Canis lupus familiaris: one gene and its partner. The protein of the gene in region 2 purifies or fractionates together with the protein of the main gene of each other region. This does not show direct contact. Links are inferred from orthologs where the notes say so. Each region holds a gene or a part of one and is shown on either strand. Other genes may lie near its edges.

Region 1 (6,837 bases), on a different chromosome or scaffold from region 2:
TTTTGGTAAACAATATGCCATGTTAACGGAAGGTATAAAGAATTGCAAAGAATTGACAACTACATTCCTCCCAATTTCTAAAAAAATAAAATAAAACGGACTTTAAAGAATGAAGTATAAATCTACTTTAATATTAAAACTTGCTTTCCTTTAAAAGTTTTGTCATTTTGAAATTATGGCTTTTAAAAATTTACGTGCATCAAACATAATTAAGCAAATAAATCAAACCGGATTTACTGGCAATCATTTTCCAACCTACATTATATGACAGAAAAGCACTAAGAAACAAAATTAAAATAGATGCCACCAGGTAGATTTAATTAAAGCACTTCATATTAAAAAAAATCTAAAAAACAAAACTTGGAAGCCAAGTCACATCCTTGCTTCATTATGCAGTTTTCTATATTCTTAGGTTCCAATCAGTGATTTTTAAGCCATGAATCCCCAAAGTTAGCTATTCAAAAGACGAGAGAAAAAAAAATACAATAGAACCATTTAAATAATCTAGACGTTTTACCTAAAATTGTTTCCTTTTCTAGAAAATAAACATATTAACTTAACCTTCCCCAATTTTAAAGGGTAGTTTATTCATTTACAAAGGTTGGTTTAAACTGAAGCAGAGCTCTTTCATATTCCAAACTAATAACATTAATATGAATTAAAATAACGGGGATAATAAAATTAGTCATCTGTTATATTTTCAAATTTAGGTAATTTATCTGAAAGCAATAAAAACAGAACTTTAAAAACGAACCCAAAATTACAGTTAAAGAATACCTAGTTGGCACTTAGGATACCAAAACTGCTCAATGTTTTATTCTAAAAAGGTAGGCACTATGATGAGCTACTTATAATTCATTCCACTGGCTAAAAATTTTAATATTTTAACAGCTGCCACCCCCACTACTCAAAAAAAAAAAAAAATACGGTTTTGGAGGTAATGAAATGAGTATCTGGGGGGTAATAAAATCATTATCTATTCTGCTTTGAACATACACTGATTTTTAAAAACCAATTTAAGCGAAAAATTATAATTGTGCAATGTATGGAAATTATGTTCCATACTTGGAAGTTGCAAATAACGAAATACTCGCAAATCCCTTACCTTATCAATTATCTTCTGAAAATGAACTTCTACAGTACAACTCTGAATATCCTTGTGTTCATCAGAATTGTGTATTAGTACCGAAAGTTTTTTAGATCTTATTTTTTGTGCTCGATAGCCAAACACAAAAAGCATAGAATCAATAACATTGGATTTGCCACTGCCATTTGGCCCAATAATACAGGAAAAGCGCTGCATAAAAAGAACAGGAAAAAAAAATTAAAGTGAAGTTAAAAAGGTCATACTATATAACTGATTTTAATTTAAACCGCTTGCCTTTTTTACTTGCAGCAAAACTATTTAAAATTTTCATTTCAACTTGTTTTCCTACATTATATTCTCCTTTATAACAAGCTTCAACATTTTAAGACTATAGTCTAAATCACTTTTACAAAATTCATTCTAATAGAAAAAATACTTCCTCCAAACAAACAAAAATAACCCCTCACCAATTCTACTCTGTGTGGAAAACTTAACAGCTAAAGAGGTACCAACGATAACCAGGATAAACAAAAACTAATTTCAGTTGTTAAAAACACAGGAAACATACCATGTATTATCAGTGAGGATAAACAGGATAAAACTGAAATACCTTGTAATAAAAACACATTACTCTATAATAGTTATTTAAAATGATCAAATACCTTATGAAAAGGTCCCAAAATTTTTTCCCCAGCATAGGATTTGAAGTTCTGGTTTACAATATGAGTTATCATAAGCCGAGGAGCTCCAGCTTCATTGGCCATGGCTGGAGGCGGGGGAGGAGGGATGCTATTCAAAATCTCTTCTAAACTTCTATTATCAATTTCCTCACTTGGTGTCTCTAAGTCAGTCAAAGGGAAGGGAAAGCAAGAGGAAAAAGAAAGCCTGCATTAGTGCAATTAGTTCGGAGGACTACTGCCTGCTAATCTTTGGAAAAATGTTACTTATGAAACCTAGGAATCTGTATTTTCCACTTAAATGTATTTTACTAAGAAGAAATGAAAATCTTTCAGCTTGATTTTATAAAAATAGAAATTCTTAAAGAAATGACCACCAGTCACAAAATCCTACAAAAATCTATCTCTTAGGAGTCAAAATACTACACCATAAAGCAAATCTGGGAAAACCACAACAACCTGATTCTCTGTTCCTCGCCTAAACAGGTGGTTAAATCCTAAGGCTCTAGATCTAACTTTCTCCCAATCTCTGAGCACCTGGAACCTTAACTTTGGACACTCAAGAGCTTCCAGCGACTCTGCCACGGGGCTTCCTAATGTCACCCAATTCCAGTACTCACAAAAAAGCTACCGTAGTTTCAAATAAATTATCGTTATCTTTTTAAACGCAATTTAGACCAGAGAGGTTAAATTAGGGCCATGTCACTTTTAAGATACAATCATGTTAATTCTGCCTAGAAAACAGTCCACTAGCTATTGGCTGATCACGCCGATCTCCGAGGAAATACAAGGCCACAAATAAAATCGTAAATGTAGCCACGCACTTGCCCCAATCCCCTCCAACACCGTAACACCGAAATTGCACGAAGACTCCGACCTCCGAAAATCGCCAAATCGCTTTGTCGAGCACTACGGAACCGACATGCGACCTACAGTCGCCAACTCCGCAGCCCCTCAGCTCCGCGCCCCCAAACACCCGCCAGTCCCGGCTTGGGCGCGGACCCACGCTGGCCGCCCCGCGCGTTCTCCAGCGGAGGAGCGGCGAGGTACTTACCTGTGGAAGCAGGGGCCGGGCTGCCCGCGCGGCCAGGCGGGGGTTCGGGCTCCGCGTCGCTGCTGGGGCCGTCCGGGGACTGCGGCGGCTCTTCCCTCCCGCGCCGGGCGGTGGAAGGTTGGGTGCCCTTTCGGGGCATGGTCGCTGGGGCCGGGGGAGAGCAGGGGCGAGTCAGTCCGCCGGGCCGCAGGGCTGCGCGGGTACATTCCCCGCCGGCCACCGCGTCGGATGAGCTCAGCCCCCACCCCATCCCACTCGGGGAAAAACTCCGTCCACCCGTTTCCGAGAACCCCTTTTAGATAACGCCGCCGGACGCCGGCGGGTGCTCGGTAAAGAAAGGCGCGCGCACACACACACACACACACAACCCCAAGTGCCAAAAAAGGCGAGATGCGTTTTCTTAAGCCCGAAGCAACTGGGCAAACCTAGACGTGCGTGGCCACCAGGCAAAGGGCAGAACGGCTTACGTTCCATTTTCTTAATGCCTCCCCACCCCCGTCCTCCCACGGCAGAAGGGTCTAACAATCCTCTAATTTCCTAACGAAATAATTCCTGCGCGGCGGCATTTGCTGGTATTCCCACGCTGCTGGGGTTAGCGAAGCAAGCGCAGAAGAGACTTTGGCCGAGAAGACTTTTGTATCCGCTTCAGGTCTGAGGGACTCTCAACTCCTCCTGAGGAGCGACGACTAACGGGCGACTCGCCACCCACTTTCCCCGCCATTTGGCTCCGGGCGCCGCTGACGGCCCCGGGGGCTTCCAGGTCTCGCTCGCTGCCGTCGGACCCGGAGACGGGGGTCGGCCACTCCCGATTTCCAAGACCAGACCTAGCAGCGCCTGGTCCGGGCCAATCATCTTGGGGGTGGCGGGGGTCTGTCCCCTCCGACCCCCCCGTGGAGCCTCGCTGGACAATCCGCTACGAAAGGTCATCACGAAGGGCTCGGACTCGGTGAGCAGTCCCTTGGGGGAAGAGAGGAGGTCAGGGGGCCGGGGCAGGGGAGACGCCCTTTCCCCGACAGAGACCGGGATTTCCGAGAAGAGCTCTGCGAGGCTTAAGAGTCCGCGTCCCCCGCGCCCCCCCCCCGCCCCGAGGCGCTTAAGTAGCTCAGAGAAGTGGCGCCCGCGAGGAGCGCGCGGGAGCCCCGACCGCCGGGAGGCGGCCGAGGGGGGAGGGGTGACAGCGAAAGAAACCTCCCGGCGGCTGCCTCAGCCCAGAGCGGACTTCGGCGGCTCCAGCTCAAGGCCTCTACTTTCCCGGCGCCCGCGGACCGGGCAGGAAGGGAGAGTGTGACAACCTGGTCAGGAAAAGAAGTACTTTACCTGCGGCGCAGGCCACTCGCACCAAAACCGGAGACCGTTGTATAGCACCCCCCGCTCCTACCGGTGTTTCGGCTCCGGGTCCTTCACTCGAAAATGGCGCCTAAAATACAAACTCGAACGGAAATTCGTTACAAATGCGCGCAATGCTTTCTGGGAACCACTAATTTGAAAAAAATGCGGCGCTTGCCACCGCCATCTTCTGGTCGCTTGCACGCATGCGCGAACTCCTGGCGGGACCCTGGCGGGACCCCGGCGGCCGGGCTCGTCTGTAGTAAGTGAAGAGGCGGAGCGAAGCGCTGTTTTGTTTTAGGCCTACGGCAACAGTACTCTTAAAAAATACCAAAAAAAAAAAAAAAAAAAGAAAAGAAATCCCAATCTAGAGAGAGTTTTGAACGAGAGGAAAAAAAAAAAAAAAAACCCAACCCAGGAGGGCTCCACCCACAGCTGGAGGAGGGCTCCGTCGTCTACTAACGTCCCTTCAGGAGAGGGCGGGCTCGGGTGACCCGCGGAGGGGGAAGTATCGCGAGAAGAGGGAGTGTGCGCAGCTCGTAGGAGTCACTATGGTGACAGGGAGGTCGGGAGGCTTCTTGGTAACTGGTCCTAGCTCCGGGAGCAATCGCCTCTGCTTTCCTGGAACTTTAAGGTAAATCTCGTCGCCTCCGGACGTGGTGAGGAAAGGGTTTGGAAATTGTGGCCATCGACGGATCCCACCTTACCTAGTGTGATAGCGTATGCGGCACCGAGCATCTGCCGCGTCCCCCTGCAGGCAGCGAGCGGGGCGCTGGACGAAGCTTTTGGGATGCGAAGCAGGAAGCCCTGAGTTTGGAAGGAGTAGAAGGACAAGACGAAGAACAGAAACACCCGGATCGGTGAATGATTGCATAGTCTATACGTCAATAGCAAAATACTTTGGAATTTGTTGGTGTCAGGTCATTCGTGTCACTAGCGAAAGGGGAATTTCGGGCTTTTAGGATGATTTGATTGAGATTCCGTAATGGAAGAAAATGATTGGTTGATGTCATCTGGTTATCTCCACGAGAAAATTATCGATCGGAAAATATTCCTTCGGTAACTTTTGAATACGTTGTACTGTGAATTACTAAGCAGGTATTCCTGTTTCCAGAGAACTTAGTTTTGTGGGTCGATTTTTAACGTGGAGTCCGTGGTCCTATTGGTGGGGCGATTGAGATTCAGTGGAATTCATAATGCTCCCCCCTCCCACCCCCCACCGCCGCCAGCTGAAACGGTAAACAGAATTCTGTGTGTTTGTGCATTTTCCTGGGGAGTTAGTTTCCTCAGAACTTTGATTCTCAAACGTGGTCCTAATCACCTATTATGTTAACCACCGCCCCCAATAAGTATGTATTCAGCGACACTTAGGAAATTGTCATTGAGAACTGGGAGCCCTGCCCTCCCTTTGACTTTTGCATACTTAGTGCCTGGCATACTAAAGCACGGAGAAATCTGCTTTATAAATGAATTTATGTTACCATTCTAAGTAAGTAGTACGAATCTTGCGCCGGGAGTAAAAAGAAAAGTTCAGTGATTCTCAAGAGGGATGTGGAGGAGACACTCCCTGACAACTCTTTTAAGAATTTGGTGAAGTTCAGAGACTGATGTGGTTTGCCAGAACATTGACTCGGGTGTATAACCCACATTTATTTATTTTTATTTAAATTCAAGTTAGTTAACCTATTGAATTATTAGTTTCAGGGGTAGAATTTAGTCCAATTTAGTGATTCATCATTTGCATGTAACAGTGTTACATCAAGTGCCTCCTTAATGCCTATCACCCAATAATATGCCTTTTCTTTCAAAGCTGAAAAAAAATAGCTATTGTTTTCCTAAGATAAACTACAGACAAAGTCTATGAAAAAAATTTTTTGGCTGGTATGCATATTAAGAAAACGTAATGATTCTCTTTCAAAGCTTATGGAAACCTTTGGATTTTCAAAGTTTGTAAAACACTACAAAACTGGGGATGGAGAGGTATCAACCATGAAAAAAAGCAAAGACTAGGCCAAATTGAGTGGGACAGAAGGGTCATGGAGACAATGTAATTAAAAGATGTTACCAGTTAACAAAATCCCAAATCCCATCATTTTTTTAGCTGCATGCTTGGACAACTTACCCAATTTATCAATCTCTCTGAAAATATTTGTTATAAAATTAGTATATACTGTCTGCCCTATAGAATTGTCTGTAATCGTCTACCACACATGCTAAGCATTTGATGTTACTGTGTTTACGACACTGATTTTATTAGGGTATGTATTAAGGATGAATAATGGGATGGCGAGTTAGAAGGTCAGCTTATCAAGGTTCTTGAAAGCCAGACTGACTGAAGATGTTAAATATGATACGAAGGAACCACTTATTAGAAAAATTTTGGGGATCCCTGGGTGGCGCAGCGGTTTGGCGCCTGCCTTTGGCCCAGGGCGCGATCCTGGAGACCAGGGATCGAATCCCACGTCAGGCTCCCGGTGCATGGAGCCTGCTTCTCCCTCTGCTTGTGTCTCTGCCTCTCTCTCTCTCTCTGTGTGACTATCATAAATAAATAAAATTTAAAAAAAAGAAAAAAGAAAGAAAAATTTTGATATAAGGAATGACTTGGTAAAAAAGAAAAAAAATAACAGTAGTTAAGTGGGATGTGTTAAAGAGGAAAAAGACTTAGATCAGACATGGCTGTATTAGATTATTAC
Region 2 (6,737 bases):
GCCTCTCTCTGTGTCTCTCATGAATAAATAAAACCTTAAAAAAAAAAAAAAAACAGTGCAATAGGCAGCATAGAAAAACAATCTCTGAAGAACAAAAATAAATGAGGTAAACACTAAAATTGTCCCAGTTTCATGTTTTGAGGCAATTTCTGGACAACAGCAGAAAATGGTGGCCCTAAGTACATTATGACGGTCTAAGCTGAGAACACAGAAATCAGAGTCAAAAAGGCAAGGGCTAGAAAAGAGGAAGCTACACAGAAAAAAAGCTTCAGAGATCTCCATAGGGCAGAAGATAAGCACGAAGAGGTAAAACTCCATGAGGGTAGGCAAAAAACAACCTCCAAGGAGCTAGAAGATGAATAATTTTCATAACCCACACAGGGTTGAGAAATATTTGAGTTCTGGACAGCCGATGCTGAAACCTTAAACACCTGAGCTAAACTAGCTCCAGAGTAAAGGCTATTTCATATCTGCTCCAAGAAAGCTTTAAAACAAGCCTCAAAAGGAAAAAGTTAATCTAACAGTTAACTGCCTATCAAAACATAATTAAAACACTATTTGAAGGGAAACAATCACGTAACAATGTTTTCAATACTGCACTATGAATGTGACTGTTAATACTGTATGCCATAAAAACTCCATAAAGATTCATTTATTAGTGTATAGGCTAGGCTATCATGAAGTCATCTCTTTTTAAAGGATTTTATTTATGAAAGAGAGCAAGCAAGCGAGCAAGTGCTCAAACACAAGTGGAGGGCTAAGCTCAGAGCCTGATGTGGGACTCAATCCCATGACCCTGAGATCATGGCCTGAGCTGAAACCAAGAGTGGGATGCTTAACCGACTGAGCCACCCAGGTGCCACAAGAACACAGTATAATCAATAACATCACAAGCGGGTTCTTTGAAATGGTCAATACAATTTAATGGAACTTTTTCTAGATGATGAAAACAACAACAAAAGATACAAATTACCAATCAGACATGAAAGGGGACATATCACTATAGATTATACAAACAAAACTTTCAAAGAAAACCTGCAGATCCAGATGGCTTTTGTTATTGAAATCTACAAAAATTTAAGGCAGAAAAACGACCCCTTCTTCACCAACTTCTAAGATACAAAAAAGGCAAGAAAACTACTCAACTCATTCTACATGAGACTGGTATTATCCTGAAACTCAAATCAGACAAAAGCTTATCAAAAAAGATATCCCTTGTAAATACAGATGCAAAAATCTTCAATAAAATATTAGCTAACAGAATCTGGCAACACACAGTCCTTTCATAATAAAATACTCAACAAATTAGAAATAACAGTATCATAAAGGTGAACCTCAAAACACCCACGGCATATAACATACTTAAGGGCAAAAGACTGAAAGTTTTCCTCCTGAGGTCAGGAATAAGACAAGAAGCCCACCTCCTGACTTCTGCTCAGCACTATACTGGAGGTCCTCATCAGGGCAATTACTCAAGAAAAAGAAATAAAAGGCACCTAAACTGGAAAGGACGAAATAAAATTATGTTTACTCACAGATGATATAACCTTACACATAGAAAATCCTACCAGTAACAATAGATGAGTTCAGCAAAGTTTCAGGGTATAAGATCAGTAATAAAAAAATCAATTGTACTTCTCTAATTAAGGAAAGGGGAGAGGATCTGAATAGAACAGTTTTCAAAAAAAGACAAATGGTCAACAAGCCCTTGAAAAGATGCTCAAATTACTAGTCATCAGGGAAATGCAAATCAAAACCACAATGAGCTATTACCTCATACCTGTCACAATGGCTAAAATCAAAAAGACAAGAAATGACAAATGTTGGCAAAGATGTGGGAAAAGAGGAACTTTCATGCGCTATTGGTGGGAATATTGGTACAGCCACTGTGGAAAGAAAATAGCATGGAAGTTCCTCAAAAAAATTAAAAACAAATACCATAAGATCCAGTAATTCCACTACTGGGTATCTTACCGAAGAAGAACACTACTAGTTCAAAAATATATATGTACTCCTATGTTTACTGCAGCATTATTTACAACAGTCCAGATATGGAAGCAGCCCAACCCAACTGTCCATTGACAGATGAATGAATAAAGATAGGGGATATACATAAAATAAAGTGTTACTCAGCTGCAAAGGAATGAAATCCTGACATTTGCAACAACATAGATGGACCTAGAGGATAGTGTGCTAAGTGAAATCAGAGAAAGACAAATACCATATGATTTCACATATATGTGAAAATTATAAAACAAAACAAAGCTGAAACAAACCAATAAATACAGAGAACAAACTGGTAGTTGCTTGAGGGGTTGAAGATGGGCAAAATGGATGCAGGGAAGTGGAAGGCCTCCAGTTACAGACTAAGTCATGGGGATCCAAGGCATAGCACGGGGAATATACTCGATGGTACTGTAACAACACTGTATGGTGACAGATGATAACCTCACTTGTACTGAGCACAGCATAAGGTACAGACTTGTCCATAAACTTCTCCCACCACTATATTGTACGCCCGAAATTAATGTGACATTGTACATCAACTACACTTAATAATGAATTGTACTTCTAGACATTACAGGTAAGCAATCTGAAAATGAAATTGAGAAAGTAATTTCATCTACAATAGCATGGAAAAAATAAAATACTTCTGAATAAATCTAACCAAATAAGCACAAGAATTATACATTTAAAAGTATCATTCAAACAAATTAGAGAAAACCGAAATAAATGGAAAGGCACGTTGTGCTCATGGATTGGAAGACCTAATGTTGTTTAGACAGCAACACTCCCCAAATTGATCTACAGATTCAGTGCACTGTCAAAATCCCAGAAGCCTTTTTTGGGGTAGACACTGACATGCAACTTCTACAATTTACATGGAAATACAAGGGACTAGAATAACCAAACAATCTTGAAAAAGAGCACAGTGTGATTAAAAATTAAGTATCAACAGTATCCCAAACATAATCCAGATACATTTAAAAACAGAAGGTAATTGGCAGGAACACGTCTTGCTGGAAAGCTGCAAGTGGCCTACGATGAGCAACACTCTTCACTCTTGGCTTTGGCATACATCTCAACCTTAATCAGAAGGAACTGCATCGAGCAAGGGAGGAGAAAAATAAAACTTTTGAGTTCCTAAAACCATCATTTTTCTGTGAGACAGCTTGGTTAGACCTGAGACTCTGCTTAGCAAGACCAAAGTCTTTAAGAACTTATTTCAACAGTCATTATTGGTAACTTTAACGATAATACAAAATAGGGCAGCCCCAATAGCCCAGTGGTTTGGCGCCGCCTTCAGCCTGGGGTGTGATCCTGGGGACCCAGGATGGAGTCCCGCGTCGGGCTCCCTACAGGGAGCCTGCTTCTCCCTCTGCCTATGTCTCTGCCTCTCTCTGTGTCTCTCATGAATAAATGATTAAAATCTTAAAAAAAAAAAAAAAACAATAATACAAAATAATGTTCAAGGCTTTAATATGTCTTTTTAGCAATTTCCAAATCATATGGGATAAATCCTTGAAATTTCTTAGAAATGAATTTATGTAAACAATGACAAACAGTAACTATGTTCTCCACTGCATCCCCCTCCATGTTCCATCCTCTCTTGCCTTGGGTTTGGGTGGGTAGAAGGGACTCCTTTATTGCTCACAGGAGGAACAGCCACCTGAGTGCTCTGACAGTAAAAGAAGTAGAACAGTGCTCATCAACAGACTACCTTCCTACACTTTCCTTCATCAAGCATTACTAGTGATTCTCACGCTTTCTTTCTTAGTACGGTAAACTGTTTCTCCATATCTGCATAGGAGAGAGATATGTAACACAGGGACTGCCCAGCAGTCTTTCTCAGCCTGGACGGGGAGTCAGGAGACGAGTGGGCAGTATCAGATTTTTATACTAGGTGGGGGTAGGTAGGAATGGAGCTTCTGTAGCTTGAAAACAATCTCCCTCGAGCCTTACCTCTCTCAGATTAACTGCATTAGGTTACAGACACACCACGTTAGAAAACAAACGCATTTAAAGAAACAAGGGAAAGATATTTCTCGAACACCTGTAACGTGCCATGTATTTTACAGACTTACTCTCATTTAATACTCAGAAAAATTCCGCGAGATGGGTTACCACTGCTCCATTTTAGAAGTGAGAAAACAAAATATAAGGGTTCAAACAATGTAAAAATTTAAAACAAAAACATATTTTATCCTACCGTATCGAATACACATACCTGGTACTTCCAGCAACAGAAAATAAAGCCCAGCAGCATGAAGGCCATACTGTCGACACTGCACACTGACGCTTCTCGTATGAACGGCTTGAACAAAGTGATAGAACAATGCCACCAGTGCCCTGTGAGAAACACGGTTCTCAATGAAGAAGGACCAAATGCTCTGGGTGGAGGAAGAAACATAAAAGCCAAGAATTAGAGAATGGGAAAATCTCTTGATTTTTCCAAGTATTTAGTACCTTAAAAAAAAAAAAAAAAAAAAATATATATATATATACACAACAGACCAACTTGATTCCCAACTATAAATCTTCAAAGGGATCGAAACGAAAAATCAAAATGCAGTATTCAAAATTACAAAGATAAATAAGTATGTAATAAATTTAAATAATTAAATTTTCAAAAATAATTTGTGGATAAGTTTGAAGCATATGTATTTCTGAAATTATCATAGCTAAAAACTATACTAAGACCTTTGGGACACCCTATATTAGTGTTTACTCAGACAAGTTACTCCTCTATCTGTTAAATGTACACAAAACCATTTATCACTAGTTACTAACTAAAGAAATCAGAGCCATTTACTTAAATTTAAATGCTTTATGGGCAATGAGAGCAGGAAAGGAAATACCTGAAAGTTTAGCCCTCAGATTTCAGGAGAGGCCTAAGTGAGAAAGGAAATACACCCTAAACTATAAACCACAATTTTAATAATTATATCATCGTTCCATGTTTTGCCAATTAAACACATGAAGAGGAAATGGGTTATTTCTACAAACCAAACACAGCAGCAACTACATATGGTTTATCCTGGAGTATCTTTAAAAAACATAGGCCCATGAAAGTTCAAGAAATCAGATCTTGTACTTCCTGCTTCCCTGAAGATGGGGAAAGTAGCAGGTAATGCCTTGGCTTGGCCACTCTGCTTAGCATGTGCCACTTTACAGAAGCGCATTCTTCCACGGTGCGCTCTTCCACGGTGAAACTTCTAGAAGACCCCCTCCTACCTTTATAGCAGTTATCTCCTCACTCTTTTTCTTTTTTCTGGCTGATGGGCCTGGAGGCTATTATTGATCAACTGGTCCACAGGGTGGGGGCGGGTCCACTACAGGACTATCCCGGGGGCCACCTCCCCAGCTCCCTGGCCTCTGGCCACATCTGTCGCCTCCCTCTGCTCTGCCGCTTCTTCCACTGGAGCAGTTGCCGTTCCACTCAAACTCCTTCACGTGCATCATGCAGTCAAGGTGCTCGCGGCAGTCCCAGTGGCGCTGCTCAGGCTTGCAGGCCGGGGAGTTGGGGAGGCTGTCCCGCTTGCATTGAGCAGCCGGATGAGGTGGTGGGCACAGAGTGTCGCTGCTGGAGTACCAGCTGCATGGCGTTCATCTGCTGCCGCGGGACCACCATCTCGTGCTCCCTGTGCCCCGGAAACCTTAGTCTGGCGGGAGGTGGGCATCTGCTTGCGGTCAGGCTTCCCTGAGGGATGGCTCACACAGCACCGGCCCAGACGCGCCCCGTGGCTGCAGCACTGCAGACTGCCCACCTCCTCACTCCTAGTGCTACCTCAGCTCTACCCACCTCATGAGGAACTGTGACCTCGTAGGTCACCAGGGACGATCCAACGACCTGTGGCCCAAGCGCCCGTGTCAGGACTCCGCCTGCCCATGACCTCGCAGCACTGGTGCCTGGCTCCTCCCTGTCTTCGGATCAGCGCTCCTCACTCTGGTGCTTGTCTGCAGGCCACCGGCAGTCCTGTCTCTACCCGACCCGGCCCGTCCTGGTCTCTTCCTCACCCCCCACTTCCGCGTCGCTGCACCCGGGATCAGAGGGCTCGCCCAGCCAGGCTGCTGAACTTGCACTTCCCTCCGGGTCTTCCAATGCACACTGCCAGGGACTTCTCCGCGACGATGCCCTAACAGGAGCTCATGTGCAAAAGCCTAAAACTGAACCTGTAATTCCCCACTTAACCAGCAGCCGCCAGGGTTTGATAGCACACGGGCCACATGCTATGCTCTTCCTGCCCCGGTCGTCAGGAACTGTGCGCACAGGTGGCTGCGCTCAGGCCAGCGCTGCCTCCCGGCCCCCGCTGACACCTGTGGATGGCCACCTTCCCGGCCGGGGCTCACCTCTGCAGGGCCGTGCTCTTCCGTAGCGAAGGGCACAATGCCCTCATGTAGTTTAGTGAACGCGCTCAACCCAGTCTCTAAGATCTCTGCTTCCACGCGAGGATCCAAGGGCTCGGCCTCCGTGAAGTCCGCTTCCCACACTGCGTCCACCCATCCTGGGGGAAAGGGCGGTCAAGGCGAGGCTCTCCCAGAGCAGGTAGAGCATCCACGACCTCTGGGCTCGGGGTTGGCTCAGAGAGAGAAGCCCCGGGCCCACCCCACCCAGACCATGTGACACAGGATTTCAGGCCGCAGCAAAGGGCAAAATCCTTCCCTTAAACTGTAACCGACGCTGCGGGGCCGCCTGACCGTCCTAAACATCCGGGGGCGAGCCTCTTCCTATGCAC

Evidence for each region. The genes of interacting proteins can lie anywhere in the genome.
Region 1: the proteins of NCAPD3 (region 2) and SMC4 purify together in Homo sapiens (co-immunoprecipitation; 3 studies listed by BioGRID and IntAct, with this or other methods). This does not show direct contact. The link is inferred for Canis lupus familiaris from reciprocal best matches to the Homo sapiens genes NCAPD3 and SMC4.

Annotation. Positions count from the first base shown.
Region 1 is NC_049255.1:26,640,169-26,647,005, reverse strand, and holds the start of SMC4 (structural maintenance of chromosomes protein 4), read right to left. Parts: upstream 4,295-6,837; 5' UTR 4,136-4,294; intron 2,963-4,135; 5' UTR 2,958-2,962; coding exon 2,819-2,957; intron 1,929-2,818; coding exon 1,750-1,928; intron 1,298-1,749; coding exon 1,106-1,297; intron 1-1,105. UniProt on the Homo sapiens protein: Central component of the condensin complex, a complex required for conversion of interphase chromatin into mitotic-like condense chromosomes.
Region 2 is NC_049226.1:1,049,956-1,056,692, reverse strand, and holds part of NCAPD3 (condensin-2 complex subunit D3), read right to left. Parts: intron 6,507-6,737; coding exon 6,352-6,506; intron 4,392-6,351; coding exon 4,229-4,391; intron 1-4,228.